Macaca fascicularis: one gene and its partner. The protein of the gene in region 1 binds, or shares a complex with, the protein of each later gene. Links are inferred from orthologs where the notes say so. Each region holds a gene or a part of one and is shown in the gene's direction. Other genes may lie near its edges.

Region 1 (16,246 bases):
GTACTCAGTGCCTGCCGCATGCTATCTCAGTTCCTGCAGCAACCCTATGAGATAGGTACAAGTAACATCCTTATTTCACTGATGACACTGAGGCTTGGTGTCTTGCCCAAGGTCACCCAGCTGGTAAGCGGCAGAGTCAAGATCTTAACCAGAGAGTAACCCAAAAACTTGTGGCTGTGCCTCACAGCTGTCACTGCACCGCTCCCGGGAAGAGCAGTCTGCTGACATCCAGTGCATGTTCATTTCCAGCATTTCAGCGGATCCTCTCTTAAGCCCATGGGAGGTGGGCGGGATCATCCCCATTTAATAGATGAGGAGGGTAAGCCTCGGAGAGGCTGAATGATTTGCCAAAAGCTACCTAGTAACCTCTAAACTCCAAACCCAGCACTCTTTCCACTTGACTCATCTTTTAAAATCAAAGATCATGCTAGGTGCTATGGCTCATGCTTGCAATCCCAGCACTTTGAGAGGCCGAGGTGGGTGGGTCACCTGAGGTCAGGAGTTCGAGACCAGCCTGGCCAGCATGGTGAAACCCCATCTCTACTAAAAATACAAAATTAGCTGGGTGTGGTTGCGGGCGCCTGTAATCCCAGTTACTCCGGAGGCTGAGGCAGGAGAATCACTTGAACCCGGGAGGCAGAGGTTGCAGTGAGCCGAGATCAGGCCATTTGCACTCCAGCCTAGGCAACAAGAGTGAAACTCCATCTCAAAAAAAAAAAAAAAAAAAAAAAATCAAAGATCACATACGGAGCCACGTTGTGATATGCCAACATGAGGGAGAACTTGAAAGGTCAGCCCCACCGTGTTTCAGCCCAGGTTGATCCTTGAATCTTCTCTCCTATATCCTATATGAACCATGCTTCCACTTAAAGCCCTCCAGTGACATGAAGCTGGTCACTGCACCATCCTCAGATCTTTCCACAGGGAGGTTAAGCCACCCTTCACCCCTGTGTGACCCCACTTAGAGGCCAAAAATGAAGCCTTCTCCAAAAGTCAAATAAACTGGAACCTCTCGTGCTGCTCAAATGCATTCTTACCTGTTGCCGCATCAGAGAAGTGTTAGTGATTGATCCCGTGTCCTTTGAGAGGCCATGCCAGAAGGGCATGTATGAGGACCCTAGGCAAAGATTGGTCCCCACTTCATACCAGTTGACACCCTTTTATGGTTTTCCATAGAAGTTTTTTGAGCTCCCATGCAAGCAACAGGACCACTGGGTTGCAATCTGAGCACAAGGTAATGACCCTGGGGGTGTCCACAGGAGGTACCCAATATAGAAATAGGAACTTAAGGACTGGCCAAAGTTCCTGGGTTTGGACAAGGACACATTCATAGTCACCAGAAGCTTGGAAGAGCTGTCAGCAATGGGTGGCACAGACCTGAGGGCAGAACCGTCAGCCCCAAGCAAAGTTGCTGGAAGGCAGACTCCATCTCCATGTAAAGATGGATTCTTATAACAGGGAGCACTGTCCACAGATGCCATGGAGCCCCTAAGAAGGACAAGCTCCCTGTCATGAGAAAGCATGTCGTGTCAATGACCTGCACTTCCCCCAGCCCTGGTTGAACAAAGAGTGAATCTAAACACTCTCCATGATCCTTCCAGCCTTGATGTTCCTTGATTCTGAGACTCATTCTGTGAAATTAGATTATGGTGACTCATATTGACATCTTTAAACTGGACTTATTTGTAATGTTTTGATCATTCATTATCTTCTCCCACCTACTTCCAAAGTGGTTGGAGATGAGAGATGACTGTATGTCTTCACATGAAGCTAACAGCTTCAGCCAGCTCATGTCAACAAAAGCTATATTTGATAGCGCAGATGCTTTACCATTTAGAATATGCAAGGAACGGTCCCCAGCCTCCTGGCCCTGAAGGTTTATGACTAAAATCCCACTGCCACCCCCCTACTCCTTCTATTTTAGAGCCACAGAATCTCAAGGCTGGGAGAAGCACACACAACCCTTTAGGTCCACCCCACTGTCAAATGTTTTGGCCCCAAGCCCCAGCCCACCCTGAGCTTCCCCCAAAGCATTCATTCACTAACTGCTTCTATACCTCTAGTGATGGAGTGCTCACCCTCTTCAAAGGAGCCTGTGCCATTCATGGATAATGTGTTAGTTTCCTTTGGCTGTCATAACGAATTACCACAAAACAGTGGCTTACAAAACAAACAAATGTATTCTTTCCTACTTGTGGAGGCCAGAGGTCCAAAATCCAGACAGTTGTGTTCCCTCTGAAGGCTGCAGGGGAGCATCCTTCCTTGCCTCTTCCGGCACCTGATGGTTCCAGGCATGCCTTGGCTTGTGACTGCATGACTCTAGTTTCCACCTCCGTCTCCACGTGGCCTTCTCTTCTTCTCCCCAATGGTCTCCTTTATGTGTCCCTTATAAGGACACTTGTCATTGGATTTGGGGCCCTTCCAGATAATCCAGGATGATCTCATCTCAAGATCCTTCATTATATCTGCAAATACCCTTTTTCCAAATAAGGTCACATTCATGGTTTTCAGGAATTAAGATATGGGCCATCTTTTAGGGCCATCATTCAACCCACAGATGGAGTGCTTTTCTAGAAAGTTTTTCCTAATCCTCAGCAGAAATCTTCCTCAGTGTAACTTATACCCATGAACCCTCAATCTACTATTTGAGGGCCTAAGAACAAGTTACTTTGTGTTTCCTCCTGACACTCTTTAGAGATTTACAGCCAACCACTAGGTCCCCAGGGTAGCCCACATTTATTGTGGGGACCCTCACAGTGGCTTGGTGGCCCATCGGTAGCATGGCTGATAGGAGGGCACACTGACTCTTGGTCAGAGAGACCAAGTCCTGGCGCCCATCCAGCCCTGATATTCACGCTGTGGGACCCCAAGCAGGTCACCTCTCCTGGCCAAGCCTCTGCTTCTTCCTTTGCAAGATGGCACAGCTACCATGGGATCACAGTGGGTCGTGGGTAAAGGAACCAATACAGAACAGGCTTTCAATGGCTGTTGGTTTTCTTCTCTCACTCAGTATCTGGTTCCTGGGCTCCTGGTTCCCTATTTTATTTTATTTTTTTTTTTTTTGAGACAGAGTCTCACTCACTTTGTCACCCAGGCTAGATTGAGTGCAGTGGCACAATCTCTGCTCACTGCAACCTCTGCCTCCCGGGTTCAAGCAATTCTCCTGCCTCAGCCTCCCAAGTAGCTGAAATTACAGGCATGCACCACCACGCTCAGCTAGTTTTTATATTTTTAGTAGTATTGGAGTTTCACCACATTGCCCAGGTTGGTCTCAAACTCGTGACCTCAGGTAATCCACCTATCTTGGCCTCTCAAAGTACTGGGATTATAGGTGTGAGCCACCGTGCCTGGCCTGGTTCCCCATTTTAAAAGGAATTTTTAAAAAGGAATAAATCGGGCTGTGAGATAACACATTTAGAGAAAGGATAAAGGACAAGGGAGAGGAAAATAATCATGGTTGTATAAAATAAGATCAATTACAAATAGCTTTGAACTTACCTTGGTGCAGAACATTTCAGTCTACAGAGTGCTTTGACATCCATCCTCCCATTTCATCCACACAGAAACCCTGTGACATTGGTATTATTATTATTATTATTCCCCCCAGTCCACAGACATTGAAAGTGAGGTCCTGAGAGGTGAAGTGACTTGCCCAGGTCACCCAGCCAACGGATGGCAGAGTAGTTTCCATATCCCCCGGCCTTGTGTCCAGCCCCGCTTCTACCACACAGCACTATGCGGCCATCAAATCTCTAAACACAGGTCCTCGGTGTGACGTTAAATGATTCATGCAGCTGTCAGACGCCTGAAGCTGTCCTGCTGAAGCCACACGGAAGAGGTGCCTTTGTCAGAAGGCCCCTTGGAGGGCCGCACTAAAGCAGAGGTTCCTGTACCAGTCAACTCTCTTGGCTCTTCCTCCTGCCCGCCACACCACCATTCTGCCCTACACCCACCTGCACTGTCCCTGCAGCCCACCCTCCCCTTAGACCACCCATAAGGGTTAAACCCTCGACACCCTGCTTCAGATCACAGCTGGCCTCTACTCTGTCCATTTCTGTCGAGACATCTATTGGTTACGAGTAGAGCTACAAGTCACAGAAAAACCCAAAATAATAATGGTTGAAGAGACAGGAAATGTTCCTCTCAGGTAAACCTAGTCCAGAAGTAAGCAATCTAGGGCTGGGGTAAGGCTCCCAGAATCTCAGCTCTTTGTATCTTGCAGCCCCCACATCATCATTACACAGGTTCCACATCATAGCCTTGTGATCTAAGACAGATGCTGAAGCTCCACCCATCACACTCCACTCCAGCTGTTAGGAAGGAGGAAAAGCAACACCTCTTCCCTTTAAAGACGCTTCCCAGAACATGTGCACACCACTGCTATTTACAGGCATTGTCAGAAGCTAGTAACACACCACGCCTAGCCTCTAGGGCAGCTGGAAAATGTAGTCTCTATTCTGGGCGTCCATGTGCACTTGAGGACAATAGAAGTCTCAGACACAAGGGATCTGCTTAGTTTAATAGAAAAAAGACTGGAGTGAATTTCTAAAAACACAGCCCATTTTTGCTACCATATTGCTGTGTGACCTTGGGCAGACCTCTTCACCCCTTCTGGGCCTTAGTATTCCCTAGAGAGTGAGGAAGAAGGTTGAGATCTTATCTGAAGTCCCCTTCCACAGTGGCCTCGGGCAGGTCTGTGCATGAACCAGTCATAGGGGTGCAGGAGAACTGGACAGCTGTCACATCCCCAATCTGCATTTGCTTGGCGGGACTCAGCAGGGTCACAAGTGGAGACAGATGGTGACATCCAGAAGACCTGGCTGACAGCAAGGCCCCCCACCCTCCCTCCCTGCAGCCCACCTCCTGAGTAACCCTCCACTCCACAGCTTCTCAGAGCAGCGGGTGTGTGCCGCCCCTTGGTAACGATCATCTCCCCTTTCTGTTCACCATTTCAGTTGTTCGGTTGTTTCTTAGCTTGGGAGACCCGCAACGTCAGCATCCCTGCACTCAACGACAGCAAGTACATTGGGATGAGCGTCTACAACGTGGGGATCATGTGCATCATCGGGGCCGCTGTCTCCTTCCTGACCCGGGACCAGCCCAACGTGCAGTTCTGCATCGTGGCTCTGGTCATCATCTTCTGCAGCACCATCACCCTCTGCCTGGTGTTTGTGCCGAAGGTACGGGTGCTGGCCCCACCACCTGGCCTCTGCCCTCCGACTCCAGCACAGGGGCATTGCTGGCTTTTCTCCATTCTCTAAAAGGTTTACCCATTCCTTTTTTATGATGAAGACAATTCACATTATAGAAAGTTCAGAAAATGCAGAGGAATAAAGGCCAGGTTTCTCAGAAATCTCCCTTTGTCCCACCACCCAATGATTCACCCAGTGATTATTTAATCACTGGTCATGTTTTGTTGGGGTGTTCTTTACTGTTAATGTTTTTGATGTGTTTCCTTCCAGCCTTTTTCTTAATAGCTAGGAGATAATGCTTTTTTTGTTTGTTTTTTTGTTTGTTTTCTCACTCTGCCACCCAGGCTGGAGTGCAGTGATGCAGTCTCGGCCTACTGCAACCTCAACCTCGCGGGATCAAATGATTCTCTTGCCTCAGCCTTCCAAGTAGCTGGGACCACAGGCATCACCACCACGCTTAGCTAATTTTTTAATTTTTTTATAGAGACGGGGTCTCCCTGTGTTGCCCAAGCTGGTCTTGGACTCCTGGGCTCAAGCAATCCTCTGGCCTTGGCCTCCCAAAGTGCTGAGATTACAGGCATAAGCCACCTCGCCAAAAAAAATCACCGTTTTTAGTAGCCACTTACGTGTTCCATTTATTTGAAGGGCTGACCTTCAGGACCACCTTGAAGAGAGATTTTTCTTCTTCTTCTTCTTCTTCTTTTTTATTTATTTATTTATTTATTTTGAGACACAGTTTCGCTCTTGTTGCTGAGGCTGGATTGTAATGGCACATTCTTGACTCATTGCAACCTCCACCTCCCAGGTTCAAGCAATTCTCCTGCCTCAGCCTCCTGAGTAGCTGGGATTACAGGTGCACGCCACCACACCCAGCTAAATTTGTATTTTTAGTAGAAACAGGGTTTCACCATGTTGGCCAGGCTGGTCTGGAACTCCTGACCTCAGGTGATCCACCCTCCTCGGCCTCCCAAAGTGCTGGGATTACATGCATGAGCCACAGCACCCGACAGAGAGATTTTTCAAATATCATCCTACCTCGCAGTGGGCGGGTGAGCCAGAGGCCTTTCTTCTCAGGAGCCCCTGCAGTAGGGTGATCTGTGTCGAGGGAAGCCTGACCTCAGTGGGTCTCAAAAGTAAAGGAAGGTGGCTGGGTGTAGTGGCTCGTGCCTGTAATCCCAGCACTTTGGGAAACCAAGGCAGGAGGATCACTTGAGGCCAGGAGTTCAAGACCAGCCTGAGCAACATGGTGACACCCCCTCTCTACTAAAAATACAAAACAAAATAGCCAGGTGTGGTGGTGCGCACCTGTAGTCCCGGCTACTCAGGAGGCTGAAGTAGGAAGATCACTTGAGCCTGGAGGAGCAGAGGTTGTGGTGAGCTGAGATTGTGCCACTGCACTCTAGCCTTGGTGACAGAGTGAGACCCTTTACCACCCCCCCCAAAAAGGAAAGAACAGGACACAGAGTTACAAAACTGGGCGGGGGTTACTGACCCAAGTGGGAGGCATCTGCCTCAGAACAGGGGAGAGGAAAGATCACCTGGGTCCACTTCAGCAAACAGGCTACCCATGGTGCCTCCATCCTCCTGGGCATGCAGTCAGCCCCCAGGCACTGTGAGCTCTGCACTGGAACACCTCTGGTGTACACGCATTAGTCGTTCACACCCGCCCAGACTCCAGGGCAACGCCATGACTTCCCTGCCGGCACTCTGACATTCTTTCCATCCTGTAAAAGAGGCCCAATGATCTCTAAGCCAAGCTTCAGTTGTGGCACTCTGCTCCGTCACACTCAATAGCTCCTCATTGTCCTCCTGGCTCTAGGATCAAGTTTCTGATGTTGGGCTGGCTCTCAGTACCCTCGGGTCTCCTCTAGTCTCCCCAGAGAACCCTGTCCACCACCCAACCTGCCCTTACCCTGCCGTTTCCCCCAGGCTTCCCTGCATTGGCAGATGCCAGTTCTTCCCTTGGAGTTCCCTTCCCCCCACCATCCCTCCAGACTGTCCTCAGAGCCCAGCAGGCCATGGCACTGTGGTAGGCTGTCCCTGATACCCGCTGGCCTGGTGAAGATTGAGTCCTTCCTTCATCCCCAGCCCACGCCTCTGGACCATGAGGTCCCAGTGAGCAGGGGCCATGGGTCACTCCACTCCTGCTTTCCAGAGCTGAGCCCAGAGCCTGCCTCGATCAGAGATGTTTCTAGAATAAGCTGGTAAGATCAGGGTCAAGTGGCAACTTTTGTTTTCTATATAAAATGTCTTTGGATGCAGCTAAGTGATGCCCAGACTCCTAACTCACGGAAACTGAGATAATAACCATGTGTTGTTTTAAGCTGCTGAAAAACAAGCTTTTGTCAATGACACAGCTTGTTACCAGCCTGCTTCTAGAACTCATCAATGGTTTAACAAACAGAGGCCTTTGCTCTCCTCTATCTCTTTGTTGTCACAGCTGTTGCCCTTGGGGCTTATTTTTTCCACAAGGAGCAAGGCCTAAGGCAACTTGCTAGGCAGCTGAAGCGAGGCCTCAGGGGCCCTGGTTGGGACGCAGGTGGCATCAGGGTCAGGAGACTAGACTCTTAGTGACCAGGAAGGACACAGAGGCATGGTGAGGGGAAGGGGCCTGCCCAACGTCACATACAAGCAAGTGGCAGAGTCTGGCCTGAGCCTAGGTCTCCTGACTTCCAGCCTGTGGCCTTCCTGGGGCCTCTTGTCGCCTCCAGAGCAGGATTTGCTGGGAGAGTCTGCCATGTGGGATGGGAGGAAGGACCCAGGGCTCTCTCTTCAACCCTGCCCCCACCTTTGTCCTTTCAGCTCATCACCCTGCGAACAAACCCAGATGCAGCAACGCAGAACAGGCGATTCCAGTTCACTCAGAATCAGAAGAAAGAAGATTCTAAAACGTCCACCTCGGTCACCAGTGTGAACCAAGCCAGCACATCCCGCCTGGAGGGCCTACAGTCAGAAAACCATCGCCTGCGAATGAAGATCACAGAGGTACCTCCCTCCGCATCGAGTAGCTGGGCCCCGTCTGCCACTGAAGCCCCTCTGACCCCGTGCAGGGACTCTCAGGCTCCTCTAGACCATCCCTGCAGCATGACCCGGCAGTGTCATCAGCTGCAGTTACAGCTGCGAGAGCCAGGGGTGACATAAGCCGCACAGAGGCGTTTGTCAGAATCCGACATGAGCTCATTGGCCACCTCGCCCAGGCTCTTGGAGGCCAGCACCACCTGATTCAAGCCATCCCCAGACAGAAAGGAACTCAGAGAGATTTGTGAGCTTCCGGATTATTGTAGCTTCCTACGTTAGTGTCTCTTTGGTGTCTCTCTTTGTGTCTCTCTCCCTCTCAGTTTTTCACTCTCCCAGCACAACCCAGCAACCACCACATCTATATGATGTACAAGAGAAGAGAAAGTGAAAAGAAACTTTTCAAGACAGAGTGCCGCAGACCTCGCCTTTGTCCTAAGGGTTCTCAACTGGTTCTTGAATATTCCAGAGAGACCATAGCCAGATTGCCTTGTGCCCAAGCCTTGTAGACCAGGGAAGGGAAAACAAATTACCTCCCCCCCTCTACCCCTCCCTTTGGGTTGGAGGTATGCCTGGACCCATGCTCTGTAGGCTGTGTATTGCTTTAATAGAGGAATTCTGATTAGGGAGGGGGACAGGAAAGGGACCAAGGAAAGTACATTGGTTATGATGCTGGCTAAACAAGGCCCCAAAATAAAGTGGCCCAAAGAAAATATGTTTATTTCCCTTTTACCAAATGGCCATGAAGAGAGAGGTCCCAGGTGGGGCAGCTCTGCTCCCCAAGGTCATTGCTGGGCTTGGTTCCTGCCCTCTGGTTTCCCCAACTCTCTAGGCTGTTCTCCTCATTCATAGTGGGAGAGCTGGGTGGATGGCATGTCTGGTTCACAGTGTCAGGAGGGGAAGAGATAGAAAGTCCACATGAGGGACTGCCTCTTAAGCAGTAACACCAAAAATTATGCACATTTTGGTTCTGCCCTAGTCACATCAGCAAAAACTGATAAGAGCACACCCAGTGACAGAGAAGGCTGGGAAACATCATCTCTAGCTGGACAGCTGCAAGGAAGAAGTGAGACATACGGTTGCCAGATTAGATACAGGATGCCCAGTTAAATTCAAACTTCAGTTCAACAACCAGTCATATTTTCAGTAAAAGTATAGCCCGAATAATACTGGGATATAATTATACTGAAAAAGAACTCGTTATCCAAAACTCAAATTTGACTGGACATTCTGGGTTTTTATTTGCTAGATCTGGCAGCCCTTTGGGGGGCTCACAGAATTCTGCCACAGAGAGCCACCACACAGTTGTCTGCGCACCTAAAGATGACTGCTTTAGGATGGGGCAACCCACCAGCAGCTGCCAGAGCAAACTAAGAAGGGTTTCTGTCCCCCAAAGCCTATTACGGGCTGTTTCCCTATCAGGCCTCTCATGATGAGCACTACCACGTCACTGCGCATTTTGCTTCTACTTGCACACTTCAGCATGGAAGAGTTCACTCACGTTAGGAAACCCAAGCCACTGTTTAAAACTCTAAATTGTTGCGTTATTTTTCCTGGAAATGAATCACAATCTGGCCTCCTGTTGTCCCCACCCTTTGATCCTACTCCTGCCATTTAAGTCACATAAAAAAGAGTATCTCTCTCCCTCCTCCTCCACATGAAAACGTATTAAACAATTTCATGGCTGTATTCCTGACATCAGAACAGCATCCGATAATTTATCAGATCTCCTCCCTTATACTACAGCAGGATGCTGTTTGGAAAAATCCTCTAACCATGTTTTTCCTGTGCTCTTGCACCAATACAACAGTCAACACAGAAGACTTCTGTGACCAAATGCACCCGCTGGGCGCCTCCGGTTCAATTCCAATACTACGGATCTAGAGATAGCTTCAGATCCCACAGGTTGAGGGCTCAGTCCCCAAGGCTCCCCCTGACCCCCACCCCACCCTCAGATACCAGCCACAAGTCAGACCTCTGGAACTTCTGACCAACCAGCTTCAAGCTGGGACTCCCAGGATCCCACTTTGGGTTGAATTACTTTGCTAGAGGGGCTCCCGGAACCCAGGGAAACACATTTACCAGCTTATTACCAAGGACGCGAATGAAAAGATGCACAGAGCAAGGGATGGGTGAAAGGGTGTGGAGCTTCCCTGCCTCCCTGGGCCCCACGCTCCAGGAATCTTCACGTGTTCAGCTACCCGGAAGCTCTTCATACCCTGTTCTTTTGAGTTTTTATGCAGGCTTCATTACACGAGGCATGATTGACAACTGTGTAGAAATGTGATTGGACAAAAACGCATGATCTAAACCCAGCAAGGTCTGTCTGTTCAGACTTTTCTTGGCCTCTCTGTAGCATTCTTTCCTCCAGGGTATGGGCAGGACTCTCTCTGTGATAAAGGTCTTTTGACCTACAATCAGATTAGAGTCCTGCCTTGAGCAGGTGAGAAAGGACAGGAGAAGGTCAGAGAGCATGATTCTGTTTCATGAGGCCTGCTCCTGAGGCCTAAAATGCCCCAACATTACAACAAAAGACTGTTACAAGAGATACAGGAGCCAGGAATCATGGATGAAAGCCATTATATGTATACAGATATGGTAATATCACAGATGTTCACCACCCACCCCGACTACCACCCCCCACAACTACCAACACTCATATTGCCCAGGTTTCTCTGGGGCTGAATTGCCCCAGGACTTGCACCTGATTTTTATATAACCTGGGAATGGGCCAGGTGCCGTGGCTCACACCTGTAATCCCAATGCTTTGGGAAGCCAAAGTGGGAGGATCGCTTGAGCCCAGGAGTTCAAGACCGGCCTGGGCAACATAGAGAAACCTTGTCTCTAAAAATAAAAACGTGGGGATGACTGGGACCCATCCTGATTAACTCCTCTGAGTGAGTCCCTGCAAGTCAGGGTCTCCGTGATAGCGTGAGGCTCAGAGCTTGCGAGCCCTGCATGTCTGTCCTCCCCACTGTGGGTCCTATTAAGTATCAATAATAGTAATTATAAGTCCAGGCACAGTAGCTCATGCCTGTAAACCCAGCACTTTGGGAGGCCAAAGTGGGAGGATTGCTTGAGCTCAGGAGTTCAAGACCGGCCTGAGGAACATAGAGAGACCCCATCTCTACCAAAAAAAAAAATAGCCAGGCGTGGCGGCCTGCACCTGTAGTCCCAGCTACTCGGGAGGGTGAGGTGGGAGGATGGCTTGAGCCTAGGAGGTCAAGGCTACAGTAAACTGTAATTGCACCACTGCACTCTGATCTGGGTGACAGAGTGAGACCCTGTAATAATAGTAATATTATTAGAGTAGCAGGTTGCCCTTATTATGTGTCAGGCACTGGGCTAAACCTTCCATGTATTATCTCGTTTAATCTTCACAACCTCCCCCTGAAGTAGGTACTATTATTACCCCATTCTACAGAAAAAGAAATAGAGACTGGGTTCTCACAAGCCGGGAGAACCTCACTGTAAGTAAGGGGCAGCCTTGGGTTTGCATGAGGCCTGCGCAGAGCCTGAGCTCTTACGCTCTCCCTGCCCTACCTCCCTGGGCTTGCTTGTCTGCTTCATCAAGGCCCAAGCCTACACTGAACACATAATTGCAAAGCCCAGGTCCCTGTCATCATAGCTTCTCCTTGAACAAAGAGCTGTCAGGGTCCTTCTGCCTCTCCATACCAAGATGCAATAACCCCTCTGATTCTCAGGGCACTCCTGAATACAGGTAAAGGCCCAGCCCTGTGACCTACCTTTTAGCCCTAGTGGCCTAGCTACCAGGGCTGGGCCAGGGACCCTGACTCAACTGGAACCTTTGTCTTCTAGCTGGATAAAGATTTGGAAGAGGTCACCATGCAGCTGCAGGACACACCAGAAAAGACCACCTACATTAAACAGAACCACTACCAAGAGCTCAATGACATCCTCAACCTGGGAAACTTCACTGAGAGCACAGGTAAGAGAGCCAAGGCCCCAGAATGTGGTAGGGACCTTGGTTTCAAACACCAGCTGTTCATCTTCCATTTTTTAGGGGAAGAAACTGAGGTTCAAACAGGGCACGGGACTCAGACACACAGAGCTGGCACACCTGGAACCTCTGTCTGCTGACCACAGTTCACTGTCTGCTTTGAGCCCCACCCTGCCTAGGCCTGGGGCTTCGATTTCCCATCCCTCGGCTTCCAGCTCCACACCTACACACTGGGGCCAACATTCCCAGTGTCCTGACTGGGGGCAGACACATTTTGTTTTCCCTTTTGTTCTTAGTGAATAGTTTACCCTTTCTTCCCTGAACAGTATTTCACGGTTTCAAATATACCTCATCAATGTGCAAGAAAAGAATGGTCAGTTAGTTAGGATAGGATGCTCAATCTCACCACCCACTTGGGAATTGCAAGCTATACAATAACACAAACCTGCCAGGCGCAATGGCTCACACCTGTAATCCCGGCATATTGGGAGGCCAAGGCTAGAGAATCGCTTGAGTCCAGGAATTTTAGATCAGCCTGGACAACATAGCAAGACCCCATCTCTACAAAAATAAATTTTAAAAAACACACACACAAAAAAAAATTTTTGCCTACCTTTTGGAAAAAATTTAAAAGGTTACCAGAATGGGTAAGAGTATTTGGAAATGAGCATTCTCCTGCGATGCATTAGAAGTCAGCCTGGCACTGTCTAAATGCTCCATGTTAAACCTCTTGACCTAGCAGTTCTACTAGCAGGAACCTGCCCCTCGCAAATACTCCCAGGTGTGCAGAGAAGAACACAGAGATGTTCCTCACAATGCTGTCTGTAGGTGAGAAAAACTGGAATTAACTTAAATGTTCATTATTTGGGGGTGGTTTCATTAATTAAGATATAGCCAAACAGGGTACATTTTATAGCTATTAAAAAGTGAGGTGAGTCTATTTGTGCCGATATGGAAACATCTCCAGGTGAAAAAAGCAAGATGAAAGCCAACATTATGATTATGGGACACACAAATGCATATACGTGTGTGTGAATGCATTTTTTAAAAGGTTTAGAAAAACAAACACCAAATTGCTAACAGTATTGACTCGTGTGAAAAGAAATGGTATTGTGGAAAGTGAGTGAGAAGGGACTATTTTACATTACCCTTTTTTTTTTTATTTTTATGTTTTTTTTACTTTTTTAAGATGGAGTCTCACTCTGTCGCTCAGGCTGGAGTGCAGTGGCATGATCTCAGCTCACTGCAACCTCTGCCTCCCAGGTTCAAGCAATTCTCCTGCATCAGCCTCCTGAGTAGCTGGGATGACAGGTGCCCACCACCACACCCAGCTAATGTTTGTACTTTTTTTTTTTTTTTATAGAGACAGGGTTTCACCATGTTGGCCAGGCTGGTCTCAAACTCCTGACCTCAAGTGATTTGCCCGCCTCAGCCTCCCAAAGTGCTGGGATTACAGGCATTAGCCACAACACCCGGCCACATTACCTTTTTTATGTTTCTCTATGGCTTGGTTTTTTCCATTAGCATGTATTCATCAATTTGTTATAACATTAGTTTAAATCAAGGAAAAATCTTTGTTTCTTTTAATTAATTTATTTATTTATTGAGACGGAGTTTCGCTCTTGTTGCCCAGGCTGGAGGGCAATGGCACGATCTCGGCTCACTGCAACCTCTGCCTCCCAAGTTCAAGCGATTCTCCTGCCTCAGCCTCCCAAGTAGCTGGGATTACAGGTGCCTGCCACTGCACCCAGCTAATTTTTTTGTACTTTTAGTAGAGATGGGGTTTCACCATGTTGGCCAGGCTGGTCTCAAACTCCTGACCTCAGGTGATCCACCCACCTCAGCCTCCCAAAGTGCTGGGATTACAGGCATGAACCACCATGCCCGGCCTTTTATTCTTATTATATAAGTAATAAGTGGTCTTATTTCAGTAGCAATATTCTGTAATTAATATTATGTAACATGGTTATTACAAAAATGTTTAAATTGAGATAATAAAGAAATTACAAGAATAAAAATTACTTTTAATAACTTTAGTATCTGGTAAAAGTGGGAATTTTAAATTTGTGGGAGAAAAGGAATTATTTAATAAATTTCATTGGGATAAATGGGTAGGCATCTGGAGGAGAATAAGGTAGATCCTAAACTCACACCTACACAAAAATTAATTCCGATGAATAAAAGATTTAAATATAAAAAGTGAAAACATGAAAGTACTAGAAGAAACCAAAGTAAAATTTTAAAAAAATCTCAGAGAGAGGAGGACCTGTCTCAGTTTGATGCAAAACAGAAATCACAAAAGGAAAGGTTGATAAATTTAGGTACAAAAAGCATTTCTTTCATAATGCAAAAGCCATGATAAGTATAGCCAAAAAATCAAACAAAGCCAAAAATTAACTCAGATAACAAGCTTATGCCCTTATATATAAGGAGAAATGATATGCAGTAATACAAAAAGTATGTATCATTATATACCAATTAGTAAGAAAAAGACCAACATCTCAAAAGAAAAATGAGCAAAAGAGAGTTCTCATAAAAGGAACTGGAAATCGTTCTTACACTTATGAAAAGATGATCAATCTCATTCTTTATTAAAGGAATGCAAATTAAATCTGCAATGAGATACCATTTTTGCCTCAAAGACTGGCACAGATCAGAGATCAAAAAGCTGCTCAGAGTGCCAGGAAACAGGTTATGAGAGAGGCAGTCTCAAATGTTGCTGGTTGAAACAGAAATCATTCAGACCCAGCAATCCCACTTTTGGGATTTATTCTCCATGCCTTAGTCTGTTTGTGCTGCTATAACGCAATACTGCAGACTTGGTAATTTATAAATAACAGAAATGTATTTCTTACAGTTCTGGAGGCTGGGGAGTCCTAAATCTAGGTGCCAGTAGGTTCAGTGTCTGGGGAGGGTCCGGCCTCCACTTCTGAGATGGCACCTGAATTGCTGCATCCTCTGGAGGGGAGGAACTCTGCATCTTCACATGGCAGAAGGAGCGGAGGAAGGGGCAAACCCACTTTCTCAAGCCCTTTTATAAAGGCCCTAACCTCATCCATGCGGGCTCCGCCTTCACAACTTAATTACCTCCTAAAGGCCCCACTTCTTAACACTATCACATTCTTCATTCAGTTTCAACACATGAATTTGGGGGGACACGTTCAGACCATAGCAGTATGATATACAGTCGATTCTGCTGATTTACAGTAGCGGTAGTTGTGTTCTTTCTGTAAAGCCTCCATCAACAGTGGATTGTGAATACTGAACCATTGCTCCTATACAGGATTAGGTCCCTGGGAGTCTCTCACAGGCTGACATCACAAGCTGACATTTTTGTCCACCAATCAATATATAATTCTGTTGTATGCGTATTTCTGTTTAAAGACATCTTATTTAGGCTGGGCGCAGTGACTCAAGCCTGTAATCCCAGCATTTTGGGAGGCCGAGGTGGGCGGATCACGAGGTCAAGAGATTGAGACCATCCTGGCCAACATGGTGAAACCCCGTCTCTACTAAAAATACAAAAATTAACTGGGCATGATAGCACGTGCCTGTAGTCCCAGCTACTCGGGAGGCTGAGGCAGGAGAATCGCATGAACCCGGGAGGTGGAGGTTGCAGTGAGCCGAGATCGCACCACGGCACTCCACCTGGAGACAGAGTGAGATTCCGTCTCAAAAAAAAAAAAGACATCTTTTTAAATATATATGAGTTAATTAGCATTGCACTCATGGCCAACAGCACTATAGCTCATGCCTGATGGAAGCTTATCTAACGCATGTATTTTCTCTCCATAAGGCACATCATAGCCCTCTTGTGCTTAGGGACACTAGCTAGCACTTCGGCGCTGTGCTTGGGGGCCATTTTCAACAGCAAACTCACCAACACACAGCACAAAATGTGAAAAACATGTCACTAAATAAACCTCCAGGAAGATACTTATTTACAATATAAGAGCTAAGCGCTAAGGCAGTGCATCACCTTGTTCAACCTCAGCTGGGAACGCGTGTATCAGGCAACTCACATTTCCCACACTGTGCATGTCAGCAAATGACCACAAAAGCATTAAAATATTGATTT
Region 2 (16,246 bases), on another chromosome or scaffold:
ATGGAAGGTCAGCCATTCTGGCATCTGGGAACATTTGTTCTTCTCTAGCTACCTATTTGCCCTAGGAGGTAGAGATTAAGCATTGCAATTTTTACCTCCCTTTGCTGATTGCAAGGATTCAGTGAAGCAATACAGGTAAAATGTGTGGCAAAGGATAGGTATTTGATAAATGTAGATCAGTCTTATCATATACATAGTCTCTTTCTCTCTCACTTTCTCTCTCGCCTTTCTGGACATTAGGCATGTGATCGTATTTCAGGAATCTTCTCTCTCCAGAGTACCCTGTCCTGTGTTTATCTTCACTGTAATCAACAATTGACTCTTTTTCAGAGCTTTTTAATTCCTCTTCCCAGATGATAGACTGTCCAGATGTGAAACACTATCCAGCTGATTTTGCTGTATTTACCTTCTGCCCAAGTGGCTTTGCACCTTCCCAGCTGTATATCTGACACCCTTTCTTTCTCCAAGCTGTGTTTCCTCATTGTAAAATGAGGGCCACTTGGGGCCTCTCAGGTCTCTTCGAGGTCTCACACGATTCTCTTTTCAAACCACTGCTGTGGTCATGTGGGTCTGCCAGCACTGAGATTCTGCATGAGCATCCTGATTGGCCTTATCATGGCCATGCTTCTCATGCATTCTACATTTTCTGGTCAACCCTCACTGCTTCCAAGTAGTTTATGACTCATAAATGTTTTAAGATCTTTTCCACCTGTGTTTCTCACAAAATTCACAGGGTTCTGTAGCTCTTGAACAATTGCTCTGAATTTAACTTTTTTTTTTTAACCAGGAGGATTAATAGAAGTTTAAGTTTGCATTTGCCAATAAACCATAGATTATTGTAGATTTGTTACTCTTGTCACCCAGGCTGGAATGCAATGGTGCGATCTCTGGTCACTTCAACCTCCACCTCCCAGGTTCAAGTGATTCTCCAGCTTCAGCCTCCCAAGTAGATGGGATTACAGGTGTCCGCCACCATGCCTGGCTAATTTTTGTATTTTTGGTGGAAACGGGGTTTCACTACATTGGTCAGACTGGTCTCGAACTCCCAGCCTCAGGTGATCCTCCTGCCTCAGCCTCCCAAAGTGCTGGGATTCAGGCATGAGCCAGCCTGCCCGGCCATATATTTTTTCCCTTTTGGAGGAGATATCACATACTGGTTGGTTGTTGAGTATTCATTAAGCAATATTAGCAAATATTATATCTTAATTCACTAGCAAGGGTTTTTTTTTTTTTTTTTTTCATGAACTAATTAAGTGCACACTTCACACACTGGTGATTGCTACCAAGGCAGCCCTGGTAGAACTGAGAAATGGTGGAAGGATGCAAAATGTCCCACACATCAGGAAGAGAACCACTGACACTGTATCCTTCAGGTAGTCCTTTTCATTATTTTCAATGGGCAGAGGGAAGGGAACTTACATTTTATATGTAAATATAATGATAAAAGACATAAGAAAGCCTGAGCTTTTAAGTTGTTCAAATAGCTGGTTACTTTTAGAAGTTATTGAAGGGCTGGAATCACTGGGGCAGTCATGTTTAACATCAATATTTAAACTCTTTCACTCTGTTAATACTTTTAAATATCTCTCATAGAAAATTTTCATGTTTGGATATTGTGTGCACTAAATAAAAAGCAGATGCTTTGTATTTAAAAAGATCTGAGTTTTAATTCTCACCACTTGTCAACTTTATAACTTTGGATCAGATAATTAACCACTTTTAGCTACAGTTTCTTCTTCCATGAAAAGAAAAGAATAGCATCCTAATTGACTAATGAGATTATTACTAATTCACCATTCACTAACAGGATTATTGTGAAGATAAAATTATGTAAAGTGCTGAACACAATAAAAAGACACAGGGAGTTCTCAATAAATAATATCTATTATTAGAATTTCACCAAGTTTCTGGTTTGGAAGAGTTAACTGTTACCTTATTCACTTTTGGAATCGCAATGCACAATAGGTAGCAAGGGAGCTACAGTACATCTTTTGAGGTGTTAAGTCAAATATGTTGAGACTGGTATAGCAAAGCGGTTACCATTCCAGAGAAGAAACAGGTTACCTACAAAGTAGCTTAGCAATAGTAATAGTGCCTGTCCCCTAAAGCATTGACCAGTATTAGTGCTAGACTTGCATAGGTGCTCAGAGGATAAAAAGGGTACGTTAAACAGATAGTAAGTGCGTTTACATGAATTTAATGTAGTGTTCAGGACTCTGGTTATAACATAAAATTTACTCCCACTAGATTAAACCAAAAGATAAAATCATAAACCTAGGGATTGGGCCCATTTAAATACTGCTAGATGTAGGTCTCTGTCTCTTCACTATTTCCCAGCTTTGCCTGTCTCACTTGGCTTCTTTCTGACTGAAAGTCCTCCCATTAGGTATGGAAGATGGCAATTGGGCTCACATACCCCTCACTTGGCAACCTCTCAAATCATAGGGCACATTTGACCCACCGTATTTCACCAGAACAGTCCCAATGAGAACTTGGATTCACCCGTCCTGAGTCTCATGCACTTACCTGAACCACCCACTATGGTCAGGGGGTGGGGAGTACTCTGTTCAAATGTGGGGGGTCGTGTGTGCCCCTCTGAGAAGTACCACCACCATGGTTGACAGTCGTTTAAGGGCAATGTGAAATAGGGAAAGGGAAAGAAGGAGGCTTTTACTGGAAGAATGGAACACACAAACTCTGTAGTTAATACATATACATTTCATTTTAAGAGACAAAAGATGCCGAGATATTGATTGCGAGGAGCTGCAGGCTTTGAGAGACTTGTTCCAATTTACAAAAAATATCAGTGAAAAGAAAAATGAAAAAGGAAGTCTCTAGGATGAAGAGGACCAAGTAGGAAAAGGGGTCAGGATGAGCTGCAGAACCTAAAGTAGGCAAACAAATATGTTTTGGGCAGAAGTAATCAAGTGTGATCTTAGTCCAAAACAGCTGAGACTAAGATGAGGAAATAAAATGAGGAAGAAAGCAAGAAAAACACAAAAATGACTTGGAAAGTGGAATACATGTGTCATCAAGGAACACTTAAAAGAGCAAGGCAGTTCTACAAATCATTGCATTGCTCTAAAATCTAACATTGGAAGCTCCGGAGCTGAGAGGGTATGCCTGATCATTATCAAATAGGGAAATTATATAAATAGGAACCATGGGCTAAATGGTTAAGGAAGTTAATTTTTTACCTAATCGTTCAATGCTTTAGGGATGTTTATACTAATAAATTACTGAGTGATGGTCAATTTATATATACACACATATATAATATATATATATAATATATATACACATGTTATATATAATGTATATTATATATATATAACTATATATATATAAAATAAATGTAAAACACTTTTAAAGTTCTTGATAGGCCTGTAGATTTTGCCATTTTCCTCTCTGGGTCAGCATGTTTTTGTCATATGTACATTGACTGTCTAGCAACATGCCTAAATATTTTCCATTCTAATGTCTTTTGCATGTCAGAATTTTCAATCCATTTTTCTTTTTGGGTGAAAGGTTTACTCTATCACACACACATTCACACATTCTAAACTAAACTTTGCTTTCTGTACATAACAGGCTTCCTCCCCCATTCATTTATCATGCAGCTATTCAATGAGCATCTGCTACTAGACGCCCTGGCATGCTGATCTGTGTTTGCCCTGGAGCATGGTCTGGAATTCAGAAGGAAACAAGCACATCCCTTATAGTCTAGTGCAGAAAACAGACATTAAGCCAATAAACCTAGAAACCCACCCATGTTTATACATTATGGTGCTGTGAAAGCAACGGGCAGGAGGTTGAGGCTAGCTTGAAAGTAGAAGGATGCGTGGCTGGTAAAGGGAAGATCACACACAAAACCTTGAAGTATAAAAAATGGCTGGCAGGGCAGGAGCTGAACTGAGGTGAATTTTTTTTTTTTTTTTAATTTTCATTTCCTAGCTTGTGCAGTAGAGCACACATTCCTGCAGGTCAAGAGTGTCTTTCATTTCTTTTGCATCCCTCGCAGGGAGTGTCCTCGTTATTAAGGTGTTGTCTCTCAGTGCAAAACACATCCCTTTATACTCTATTTGTGATGCCAGGACTGGGATTTGGGTTAACCACACAGGCTAACTACACTTTTCCTTTGCCTAGCTGGCTTTCTGTTAGGCTCTGTCAATAGGGGTGCTAGAAGTAGACACTAAAACATGGGAAGAATTCCTTGCTTGCTCCTATCAGCGTCAACTCAGCTTTTGTTTACTCCAAAACCAGTTGGTTCCAGTTTCCCTTTTTTCCCCTCTATAATCCCCAGAGCCAGGCTGATTCAAAGACACCAGCACCAGCAGGCCACATGCCCTCTTCAGATGTCTGGGTCCAACCTCCACACAATGCCTCCTCTAAGATTTAAGGTTCTAATAACTGCATCTTCTTTTACTTGTCTCCTTAGACTTAAGGATGGTAACCACCTTGTGTAGCCACTATCTTTGTCTCTTTACTGCTACCTGTTTGCATTTTCACTTCTCCCATATCTGTCTAACCAATACTTATGTTAAATCTCCCTGTTCAGGTAACTGGTGGGGTGCCTGTGTTCCTGACTGACTCTGATGGATGCATGGATAGTTTAACTGTCTGTTCTTGTCCATACTAACCATCTCTCAGTAGAAGCTCCCACTGGGCCCCTCCAAGGCCAACTGTTCATGAGTAAAAAAGGTCAACTGCAAGCAAGAAGCGATGATTGTCAAGCTTGAAGACAAACTTTTTTCAGAAGCTCTCATAGCCTGCCTATTCCCGATCTCTCAGTATGCAATATCTTTTTCAAGGTTAGCAGAATTATAAAAACATCAATTTGGCCATTATTGACTTTTCAACTGGGATACCAAGAAAACCTTTCAGCAGCCTCGATAAATTAAATCTGGCCACCTAGCTCCCAGACTTGCAGGCTCCTACATCATTGACAGAGAAGACAGGGAAAAGCAGTTTTCCCAGCTGTTGCAGTAAATGATGTGCATTGTGCTCACAGCCATTAGCAGGTGGAAAATTTGAAGTGTGGGTACATTGCAGAGCTGCCTCTTTTAAAAATGCATAAGCACTTTGTGAGTTTGCTAAGTCATGTTTCACTCAGCTCAGTTTGAATTTTTCATAGAGGAGAAATATTCTGTAGTCTTTCCTCTTTAAGTTCTTCTTTATCAGTAAGAACTGACACAGTGAGGTCTATAGTGGAAGGGGGCCAAGTCTAATCATACCATTTGCTTGATTAGTCCTCAGTTTTTCTAAGTTGTAAAATGCTTGAAGATTTAGGGCTTTAAGGACTTAATATAACTGAGTTTCCTGCCTCTCCCTGTTTAATCCAAAATGCAAATTCTTTCCCATTCTGGATTTGAGTTTATTTGATGTGTTTTCAAGTAAATTTTTATCCTGAAGAGCTCATCCATTTGTGAAATTTTAAGCATTGCACTGTAAAGACTCCTTTTTCTCCAAAAACATCCCCTGTTCACACACCATGTGCCACACACAGTATGTGCTTGTGGTCACTCATTGGTCACACCATTCCTATGCTGAGGCAGACATTACTAAGTACTGAATACACATTTTCCTGATGCATCCAGCTGTAACATCAGTGTCATTACTAATGTGATATTCCAGCTAGACCTAAGAATTAGTTGTGTGGTGTACTGATGGAAGCATTATAATTATACAGCAAGCCCTTGATTTGTTTCCTTCATATGGAATAGTGTCAGGATTGTAGTAGAACAAAGATGTATAACTGAATGGAATACTTAGTGTGCCCCAAATTATGAAACATCTTTTACATTAGCTACCTCATTTAATTTTCTTCAAAGCCCTGTGAAGAGAATACTATTAACAGCCTTATTCTTCAGATGAGTAAACTGAGGCTCAGAGAGTTGAACTAATTTATGTAAGGTCTCATAGGTGACAAATTGTGAAGCCTGACTCTGGCGCCTGAGACCTGCACTGCCATGTTATCAACTTGATACAATTCAACATATGTGTTCAGCTCATTCATTGATTATTCATCAAACATTTATCAAGCCACTCTTATGCAGCAGGCACCAAAAATCATATTCAACAAATTCAGCAATGACTTATTAAAAAACAAGGTAGAGCTATTAGGTTCTCTGACCAGCAACTAGATAATAACTCCCCAAACAGGCAATAGATTTCCTGCTTTTTTAATATCAATAAATCAGACTTTTCTTGGAATGAAATGGTTTTCTTCCCACATCTGGCTAATCAATTGTAACCTATTTTCTCCCCAAATGGAGAGAATTATTCCAGCCAGTATTGAAACCTCAGCAAATTGGAAGCAAAATACGTTGCAATTTGAAGTACCAAGGTATTTATGAGATCGTTATTTGCTATAATTGGGGGGATTCTAGAATACTTTGTGTTACAGAACTGACCTTTCATAGATCTTTCCATACTTTCCAAGACTTGTAAGCACATCACAGTGGTTCTGCAAGGTCAAAGGGTCTGGAGCTTACATGTGTCATTTCTGTGTTCTGATTTAAAACCTCTTTGCTTGTCATTAGGTTCTTGGGAAGAGGGTAGTCAGGCAGACAGTGCTCCTAGAAAAGATATGGGGTGGTCATCTTCTCACGTTTGATTATTTTTCAAACTTCACAACGACTCTTCATGTAGGACTACCTTTGGGCTGTAGTACTATTAATCCTATAATATTGGATGAGCTGGATGGGGCCCTTCTGATCCTATCTTTCTTTTTTGGTTTAATATAATATATAGACTTCAGAAGCCATCTCATAAATTATCTTGCCAAAATAAATGGCAAGTAAAACAGTCAAATGTTCTCATAAAATCTTGAAACACGGCAGCATGACAACCTCCATGAGAATTAAGTTGCTCAATTTCCCTTTGATAGTGATAGTGCCCAGAGTAAGTGGAAAGCAATACTTCTGTTTGGTAGCTGGAGGATCCCACATGACATTTAAATACATGATCATCCCAGCAGTTCAGGGAGGAAATAACTGCACCATTGCCAGGTTCCTGGCTTGGCACATAGTGAGGGCTTCATGCAATTTTCCACATGAATATACAGAAATCCTTCACATGATGGTGTTTGTGTTGTTAAAATAACTTTGGGAAGACTGGGTGCGGTGGCTCACACCTATAATTCTAGCACTTTGGTAGGCCGAGGCAGGCAGATCACTTGAGGTCAGGAGTTCAAGACACACCTGGCCATGGTGAAACCCCCTCTCTACTGAACATACCAAAAAATTAGCTGGGCGTGGTGGCAGTTGCCTGTAGTCCCTGCTACTCAAGAGGCTGAGGTGGGAGAATTGCTTGAACCTAGGAGGTGGAGGTTGCAGTGAACTGAGATCGTAGCAGCACTGCACTCCAACCTGGGCGATAGAGCAAGACTCTGTCTCAAAACAACAACAACAACAACAACAAAACCCAAACAAAAACTTTTGTAGAAGTCTCAAGTTTTCTTCTGGGTCCATTGAATGAAATGACTTAACCATGGGGAAGGTGATTGACTCTTGGACAAAAAGACACAGCAATTGCTTCTCTACTGGTTCAGCAGGGTTTATGGCCAAAATATTTTGTAATCTTGCTTTAAGGTAATAGGTGTTTCCCAGCATATATTTCTTCTCTTCTTCCTTTCTGTATTTCCCCTCTCCCTCTTCTTTCTTTTTGTAAAAGCTAAATTCAATTTCTGCACTTTTTCAAAAAGGTTTAAAACCAGATTGTCTCTGGTTTGATGTGATTACTTTTCTTCAGTGCAATTCATTGGAACCATTTCTCAGTTAAGTCATTTTGGCATAGGGGTTGCCGAGTTTGGGGAAGCAGAAGCAGATTCTGCCTAGTGAAGGTAAAAAATGATGCCCTCAAAATGTATGCTGGCAGACAGAAATCATTTTCTATTACTGATATTTTCAGTCACCAGCTGGTATATGTTGAACAGTTTCTGTATTGCATGGAAAATGTATAATAGCATGAGATAACTAGAACAATACTGCTATTGTGATTCCTTTTGGCTAATTGGATTGTTGCATTTAGTTTAACAGCTTTAAAAACACAATGATTACTCAGTCACATTTTAGAAAGTGACTTGAAAGAGTGGGTATAATTTAGGAATACTTCTGGAGTTGTGATTTATAGAAACTTTTGTTTTACTTTCTCTTTAAAAATTGTATGGAGATAAGTAGGTATATGTTTAAATCATTTAGTGTGTAAAGAACAGGCATTATCCAAGAAGATAGGACATAACTTTCCTAATAGTTTTCATTCTAAGTTTTCTCTACTTTGACTATGTTAGAAATGGCAATAAAGTAAGATCCTACATAATGTGACCTATGATTCATGAGAATAAGATATGGTGTAAACCTAAATGGGGTCTCCTTTAAAACTATATAAAGGTACTACATTATCCTTGTCCTCAACATCATAAAGGAATTTGTTCTCTTTATTTTTATGGATTAAGTACAAAGAATTGTAGAAGTGCCCAGCATGTAATACATGATCAGTAAATAGTATTAAGTTTATGACTCCAGGAAGACTGTGGCTGTTCAGAGGGTGGAAGTGGGGGGCAGTGACTTATTTTTAGGAAGTTGCTTTGTGCCATGATTGTGTGTTTTTTTTTTTTTTTTTTTTTTTCTGGTTCATGGAGCCACTGTGCATCTGCAGCATTGCTCTGCCTTCAAATTGCTAAATGCAGTATTATGAGTCAAGACTCAGAGGAATGGGAGAAGAGGGACTCACATTGGCTGAAAAAATGACACAGAATATAGTTTATCATATAAATGAAAAGCTCACTGGCAAGACTAGCTTCAGGTGTGGCTAGATCCAGATACTTAAAAGTTATAATATGGCCTTTTATTGAATTTCTACATTGTTCCTTGGCGTATTTGCTCTATTACAACAATGGATACTTCACTATGCTCATATTAAGGAGCTCATGGCCTAGTAGCTAATATGATATATAACAAAATGTAATATGTGCTATAATAGAGGAACTTACAAAGTAGAACTATAATTCAGAGAGGAGAAAAAAGCAAATACGTCTGAGGAGAGGTTAACAAGAAATTCAGAGAAGTTATAACCTGCAAATTGTTTTGAAGTAGAAGCAAAGATTTTACTAACAAGGATACTGAATAAAATGGTTAATTGGTATGGTTATGGCCCTTGGAAGGTCTGTATTCAAATCTCAGCTCTGCCACTTTCAAATTGTACAAACTCTGGCAAGTTTCTTAAACTCTTGGGGTCTTAGTTTCCTTGTATGGAGACTGAAATTGAAACTACTGAGTTAACAGAGTTTTCGTTAAGGACCAAGGAGCTGAGGGATACCCAGATAGGGACAGGCACAGAGTCAGTCCCCCTTCTCTGGTTACTGTCATTCTGTTTTGATAGCGTCCTCCTGTTGTACCTGACTGCTGTCACTTGGAGCTTTTCATCAGCTATGGGAAATCGGCTAGCTTTTATTGAGAGTTTACTGTGAGAGAGATACTGCATTAAGAATTTTGACTTATCTAACTCCTTCCTGTAACTCCAGATAGCAGGAAAGTTATTACCCTTAAACCACAGATGAGGAAAGTGACTCTGAAAATCTAAGGAATGTGCCGAGGTGACAAGCTTAATAAATGATGTTAGCTGGGTATTTCTGACTCCCGTGCTCATGGGCTCAAGCATTATACTATATTTCCTCTTATATAGCATGCCATCATTAATTTCCTCCCCTCATGGACTTGGCTTTTGGCTCCTGTTGCAGCCCACCCTGGGTACCACCCCACTTTTTCTAAAAGCATGGTTCCATGGTGCTTCTCTTATGTGTGTTTGTGTGTATGTCCAAGTGCTATGCTGCTACTCCAACTGACCTGGCTGGCAATAATCCTTTGGGTCCTGTGCTTTCTTTTCAGGTGAGCCTTCCAGATGGTCACCCTCACACTGCGATTGCTGCTGCAAGAATGGCAAAGGTGACAAAGAAGGGGAGAGTGGCACGTCTTGCAATGACCTCTCCACATCCAGCTGCGACAGCCAGTCTGAGGCCAGCTCTCCCCAGGAGACGGTCATCTGTGGTCCCGTGACACGCCAGACCAATATCCAGACTCTGGACCGTCCCATCAAGAAGGGCCCTGTCCAGCTGATCCAACAGTCAGAGATGCGGCGGAAAAGCGACTTACTCCGGACTCTGACTTCAGGCTCCAGGGAATCGAACATGAGCAGCAAAAAAAAAGCTGTTAAAGAAAAGCTGTCAATTGAGGAGGAGCTGGAGAAATGTATCCAGGATTTCCTAAAAATCAAAATTCCAGATCGGTTTCCCGAGAGAAAACATCCTTGGCAATCTGAACTTTTACGGAAGTATCATCTATAAGGGAGGGCTGGGGGTGGGAAGATAAAAAAAAAAAAAAAAAAAAAAAAAAAAAGTCTTCATTTTGAAATTAACCTCCTAAAAGGAATTCATATTTTAAAGGAAAAAATACAACTAATGATGCACATTTCTTAGAACACAATAGTCCATTGATATACTACTGCCTACTTTACCTAGTTCACCTTAACATGTAAATCCACAGGGTAGATTTCTTTCTAGATGTGGAAGTACAAGAAAATCTTTTTTAGTTATTTGTTTGTTTACTTGGTCCCATGTGCTAAGTATCTTATATATAATGAGAGTCAGCTATATAAAAGTAGCTGAGAGGCCTTGGGAATCGTTTATCCCAAACCGGGTTTTTTTCTCTCATCTTCTACCTCCCTCCTTTGAATGAGGGTATGGTAAAAAAAAGATCTGGCCCAATGGCATAAGTTTGGAATTTTAAATTTTGCTTTTTCCTTTTGTTTATGGGGTAGGGGGGGAATGGCAGATTTATATGACTTTTCACTCAAATCTATATGTGCCAGTTTATATTGACTCTGTATGCATGAGTATTTGTGCAACATAAGCACAACTAAGTATGTATATACACACTACGCACACGATGCCAGGGCCTAGACATCCCAAGGGCTGTACTCCTGCTCCCAGCAGCCCTCTCTTAGAACATTTCAGATGGATGAGCTTCTGACTCTTTCTTAAAATTCTTTTGGGAAGATTTCCCAACCTTTCTTCACAACGCTTTCTAACATCAAATGACCCTCATCATCAACAAATTGTATTCCTTATTTTGAAATTAATACCCTCAGGCTCCATTTTACTGCTTTGCTCTTTGTCTGCATTAAGAGAGGATGAGGAGAGCTGGTCAAACATTCTTTGTGTTAAAAAATCAAACATTCGTATTCGCAAAATTTTCTGCTAAATGACCCCACACTCAGCCTTCTCTACCCTGAACTAAATTATCACCTTTCTCTCCATGTTTTCAGAGTTCTTACTGCCCACAGTTTAATGGTGTGGCCTTTCCACGTAATCCACATTAAGTTCTGTGTTCCTGTGTTATGGAACGAAGGACAACACACAGTACTCAAATAAGGGTCCGGCCTTTTGTTTGTTTTAGAGAAAGTTGTATTCCACATACAATCTAATAATTTCTTATAAAAATTTTAAGCTACAAAGCTACATTTTTACTTGCTGGTAGCCTTTTTTGTTTGTCTTTGGGATTCGGGGTTTGGCTGTGCCCATGCTAGGGTTTAGCTGTGTCATTTTTATGATGTTTGTAACAACCCAGCAAGGTAACTGAAGCTCCAAAGTTAAGGTTTCAGATTTCTAAATGAAACAATCTTTTTCAATTACATCCTATCCAGTATAGACACAGCCAAAAAGAAACCGCTAATAGCTATCCATCCATGTAACTCTGTATTTTACTAAGGTACCAATAGCTCTTTCATAGACTTGTGCTACATGAAGGTTGAAAGACCAGTTTTTATTTTCAGCATTCCTCATGCATTTCAGTAGTAACCAAAAATTGATTTGTCAATTATTAATTGTGTGCCAAGCACTCCTAATTTGTTTCATTGCGTGTGTGTGCATGTGTGTATGTGTACCACAGGTAATAAAGGCAATTGGATGATATCGGTAGGAGGAAAACAATGACTAATTTCTTCCTTTTAAAATCTTTCATTGATGCACATTTATTATGTAAGAGGTTCTGTCTTGATTTCTGTTCTTAGTGATGATTAGTATATGAATATTTTTCTGAATTTTTGTAATTCTCGCCTTCACACTTGGATGACAGGCTCAGCTAAGTTTTCCTTGTCCTGAAGGTTTGAATGGAGTTTAAAGTTTTTACATAAGTGAAAAAGAAAGTATATCTTGGGAGTTGAGTTATCAAGAGAATTATAATTTATGAATTTAAGTGATGTTCTTTTCTGTATTAATATATTAGCAGATATTTGATCTTAACTACAACATAGCTTTGTTTGTAAAGCCTACCAGTATGTCTTCATTATTTTCAATGTTTCTTGATAGCACATGAAAATACCATCATCCTAATAACAGAAGATCTTGCAAAGAATCACAGAGCTTAATGGGTCAAGAAGTTGAATTTGGGGAAAATATCCTGAAACTCACTTTGGTCATATGATAATTGTGTTATCACTGGAAGTGCTGTCAAAGACTTTGGTGTCTAACTAAAATGGCCAAAGTTCCAACTTCCTTAAATTTCAGACCTGACTGTAATGGCCTCAAGATAGAGAGATACCCTCATAAGAATTAAAGAATTAAGATGATAGTCAACCCAATATTTCTACTACATTCTTTAAACAGGAAATTAAACACTGCAAAAGGAGTGTTAATGGCAGTGTTCTTCTGACCCCTGACCTGTCATCAGTTTTCTCTGCTCTGACATTCCTTATATACCCAGTGAACAAAGCTAGAATAGAAAACCTGTTTAAAACAATCACAACAGCAGTATTTTTATTTTGGGCCACCTCTCGGCTGGCACCCATCCCATAGTAAAATATTCAAGTAACTAAGACAATAGCATGGCGTTTATTTGTGTGAGTGTTGGTATAGAGATGAACATAGACCTGGCCAGTAAAAGGCTCTGAGGAGGCTTAAAGTACCTAGTTTGAGTGGAGTTATCAAGTGAGGTTCAGGTAGCCTGCAACATTGGAAAAGAGTTCTGGGTAAGTGAGTTATAAGAGTACATGCTCTAGTAACTCTGGTAGTCACTGTGACTCGGGCATGTTTCCCTGAAGTTAAAATAATTTTTAGAACTTTTTGTTTAATTCTGAACAAAAAATGTATGTGGTTTGCTTCTAGAACATTGGTTATGACAAGGGCCATAAATTGCTAATATAAAGAAAGTAGTAATATCAAATGGATACAATGAATGGGGAATCACATGTATGGAGCCCCAACTTAGATTGCCTTCTGGGAAATCCCACTAAAATCCAGTGAGCTTGGGGAGATCATTCTCTAAAGGTATGTGAGTCGTCTAAAGTCAGAAACGTATTTACAAAGTCCTTCTACCCACTATCAAAAATGAACTGATCCACATTCAGCAGGAAAAGGGGAAGACAGGAATATAAAACTAATAGATCATATGGTAGTGTGATTTTCTTTCCCCCGCTAGGAAAAATTGCACTGAAATGCTGTCAAAAAATAATGAAGTGAAGTGGCTTCCAATATATGCACTGATGTTATCCTTTGTATTTATAGGCACAGTTATCTTACTGAAAATGCATGCACGGTGAATTAAAATAAAAGGGGGAACAATGCACAAATAATAAGTTTTCCCTTTGCTCTTTATTCCTTCATAGTTGTATCTATTCCAACCAATTCATTTTGGGGGAACACATTTATTAAAGGGTGCTGACATGGAACTTTTCTCTTTTCAGTTAGCCTTGTTCGATTCAGAGGAACCTTTATCCATAGGCACAGATGTGTTGCTTGTTCTGGGCCCCATTACTTCCTGTGCTTCTGGATTACTTTTGCTTTCCTGGGCTTTAGATTCTTCTCTGAGTATCCTTTGTTGGTGTCAGACAAAACATGCTCCAATGAGACAAAAGGAAGGCATGTATGGTGTTTTGCAAAATTACTTGACACCAGCTCCCACAATGGAAACCAAATTTTGATTCTTATACATTTTCCTTTGTTGCAATTCCAGCCTTCCAACTTTGTATCTACTATAGAGTGGATCTGTGAATTTGAGTGCTGGTATTTTCTGCCACTATATACTATGCCATGGAATTTGACTAGCCTTAGTCTTCTAGATGATCTTTACTAGAATTAATAAGATTCTTTCTGTGAATTTTTAGGAAGAATTCTTTGTCACCTCCACCTGACACACCAATTTTCAAAAGAAAAACGAAGGGAATTCATTTTTCCTTATGGTGACTCTTTGGCAGATAAACATTTTTGCCAATTTGCATGCTGGGTTACGGGTTTAGCATGGGCCATTTCTCTCTTTAATGTCTTGGTATTATTGGCGTCTTGCAATCTTGATGCCCCACATTTTTAATTTATTTATTTTCTTTTATATTGTCAAAATAGCAACTAGAGAAAGAACCAGAGTGAACATTCGGTATCCTGAGTTACAATGGAGTTACATGTCATTTGTATAGAACTGTATAATGATTAATATCTGCAGAGAAATTAGACCAAATGAAACCTGCTGGCATAGGTTTGATTTATATTGCCTTCATCATTCTGGTTTCAGACGAAATGGTTATTGCTCTCTACCACTGCTGAAAGAATAGAGTCTTAAACTTTAATAATCACAGCCTTGTGATGCAAGCACAGAGCTTATTTGTTTGAAATGCCTATTATTCTCATCTTGCTGTATATGTTGGAATGGAGATTCTTTTTCCAGTGATCTCCATTGCAAGCTTTTTAACAGTGTTTTTTAATACTCAGTATGCATAAAATTCATGTGTAGCACTTGTAAAAATGCAGATTCCTTCAACCTATCTTCAAAGAGTCTGATTCGGAAACTTGAAGCAGGGCCAAGAAATTTGTATTTTGAGCTAGTCTCCTTAATAATTTTGATGAAGATTGTCTATAGACCTTATTTTGAAAATTTCTGCTATTTAGGGAATATGCAGAGACCAACAGTTCCTTTACTTCTTAGAAGCATTTCCTCATTTTCTCTTACTTCCTTCCCACTACAAATAAGTCAAAGCACGCATTATTCATTATCTTAAGAGAAAAATCCCAAAGAAAAACATCCTAAGACTAGAGCAGAATAGATTTTCATGAATTCTTTGCCATTTCATCTGCTGTATGTCAACCATAACCCTTTCTCCATATTGTGTGTGTATGTGTATGGGTTTTTTCCCAAAATAAAAGCCTACATTATTATAGTCTTAGCTCTGGGTAGATGGGAGCACATCTCTGAGTGAGATGTATTCTAATGATACCCAACAAGAAATAAAAATAATGATCTTTCCCAAGGAGAGTTGTTTATTTCTAGGACCTTACTTAGTATGAGTAGGAGGAAATTGAAAGTGACCCATAATTTAATGATGTATATGGCCCCAAAGGTGATTCCATTAACTGCACATAAAATATAACCAAAATGAATATGGAATGGTTAGTGAATTCAGCTACATTTTACCAAACAAATCCTGTGCCATTGAACTGCTAAGTTTGTCCAATTTGACTCAATCAGGACTATGAAGCTCTCAGATAATTGAAGATCATGAACCCTGACATTAACTAAAAACTTGAAGCCAAACTCATGTTTGAGAATAAATGCCAAAAAAGAAAAAAGAAAAAAAAAGAAAAGAGAAGAAAAAGAAAGCAAGAAAGAGTGAATTCAAACGGGTTTCAATGATCCAATTGACTCTATTCATTTAACAGAATAACTGGATACATACCAAATTCCCACATTATAAGAAAGATAAAAATAGAGATCACGCTTGTCATGATCATGAGTGAATATGTGAGTAAATATTATTGCCAAAGGAAAGTGAAGTACGCTTAATGAAACTGTTGAACATGAGCAACTAATTATGTTAAACTGGCCAAGATTAAAACAAAAATGGTTAAATTTGATTCAGTTTGTTGCCCTCTCTCCTCTGCTTCCTAAGTGGGATTTCTTTTCTGTCCCAGCTTCCTAAGGTTCAAAAATGTTTCTCTTGTTTGTGAACAAATTTTGTTGCCAATTGGGTAAAAAATGTTAAGTTCCCAGACTGTCATCCTTGCATTATTTAGGAAATTTACTTTTAAAAGGATAAAGAAAAATGTGCCTGGCCTAGCAACTATCAAGGGCTTGTCCTGGAGGAGGGCGGGGGTAATCTTCCTGTTAATCAGCTTTGTAAAAGCACTTATATGCCAACCAGAGGGTTTATTAAGTCTCTTGTCTCCAGCAACCTCCTCCATCTTATCAGTTTATTTTTAGAATTG

The links.
Region 2: the proteins of GABBR2 (region 1) and KCTD16 are in contact, whole or in part, in a crystal structure (PDB 6M8R), measured with the Homo sapiens proteins. The link is inferred for Macaca fascicularis from reciprocal best matches to the Homo sapiens genes GABBR2 and KCTD16. Residues at the interface, in NP_005449.5 of Homo sapiens: Ile882, Asn883, Ile888, Gln889, Arg891, Leu892, Ser893, Leu894, Gln895, Leu896, Pro897, Ile898, Leu899; in NP_001357415.1 of Homo sapiens: Asn30, Gly32, Gly33, Gln34, Val35, Tyr36, Asp64, Leu65, Ala66, Lys67, Asp68, Ser69, Arg72, Phe74, Gly79, Phe80, Arg83.

Annotation. Positions count from the first base shown.
Region 1 is NC_088389.1:59,816,059-59,832,304, forward strand, and holds part of GABBR2 (gamma-aminobutyric acid type B receptor subunit 2), read left to right. Parts: intron 1-4,955; coding exon 4,956-5,180; intron 5,181-7,994; coding exon 7,995-8,177; intron 8,178-12,026; coding exon 12,027-12,156; intron 12,157-16,246. UniProt on the Homo sapiens protein: Component of a heterodimeric G-protein coupled receptor for GABA, formed by GABBR1 and GABBR2. Within the heterodimeric GABA receptor, only GABBR1 seems to bind agonists, while GABBR2 mediates coupling to G proteins.
Region 2 is NC_088380.1:150,965,459-150,981,704, forward strand, and holds the end of KCTD16 (BTB/POZ domain-containing protein KCTD16), read left to right. Parts: intron 1-9,887; coding exon 9,888-10,342; 3' UTR 10,343-15,288; downstream 15,289-16,246. UniProt on the Homo sapiens protein: Auxiliary subunit of GABA-B receptors that determine the pharmacology and kinetics of the receptor response. Increases agonist potency and markedly alter the G-protein signaling of the receptors by accelerating onset and promoting desensitization.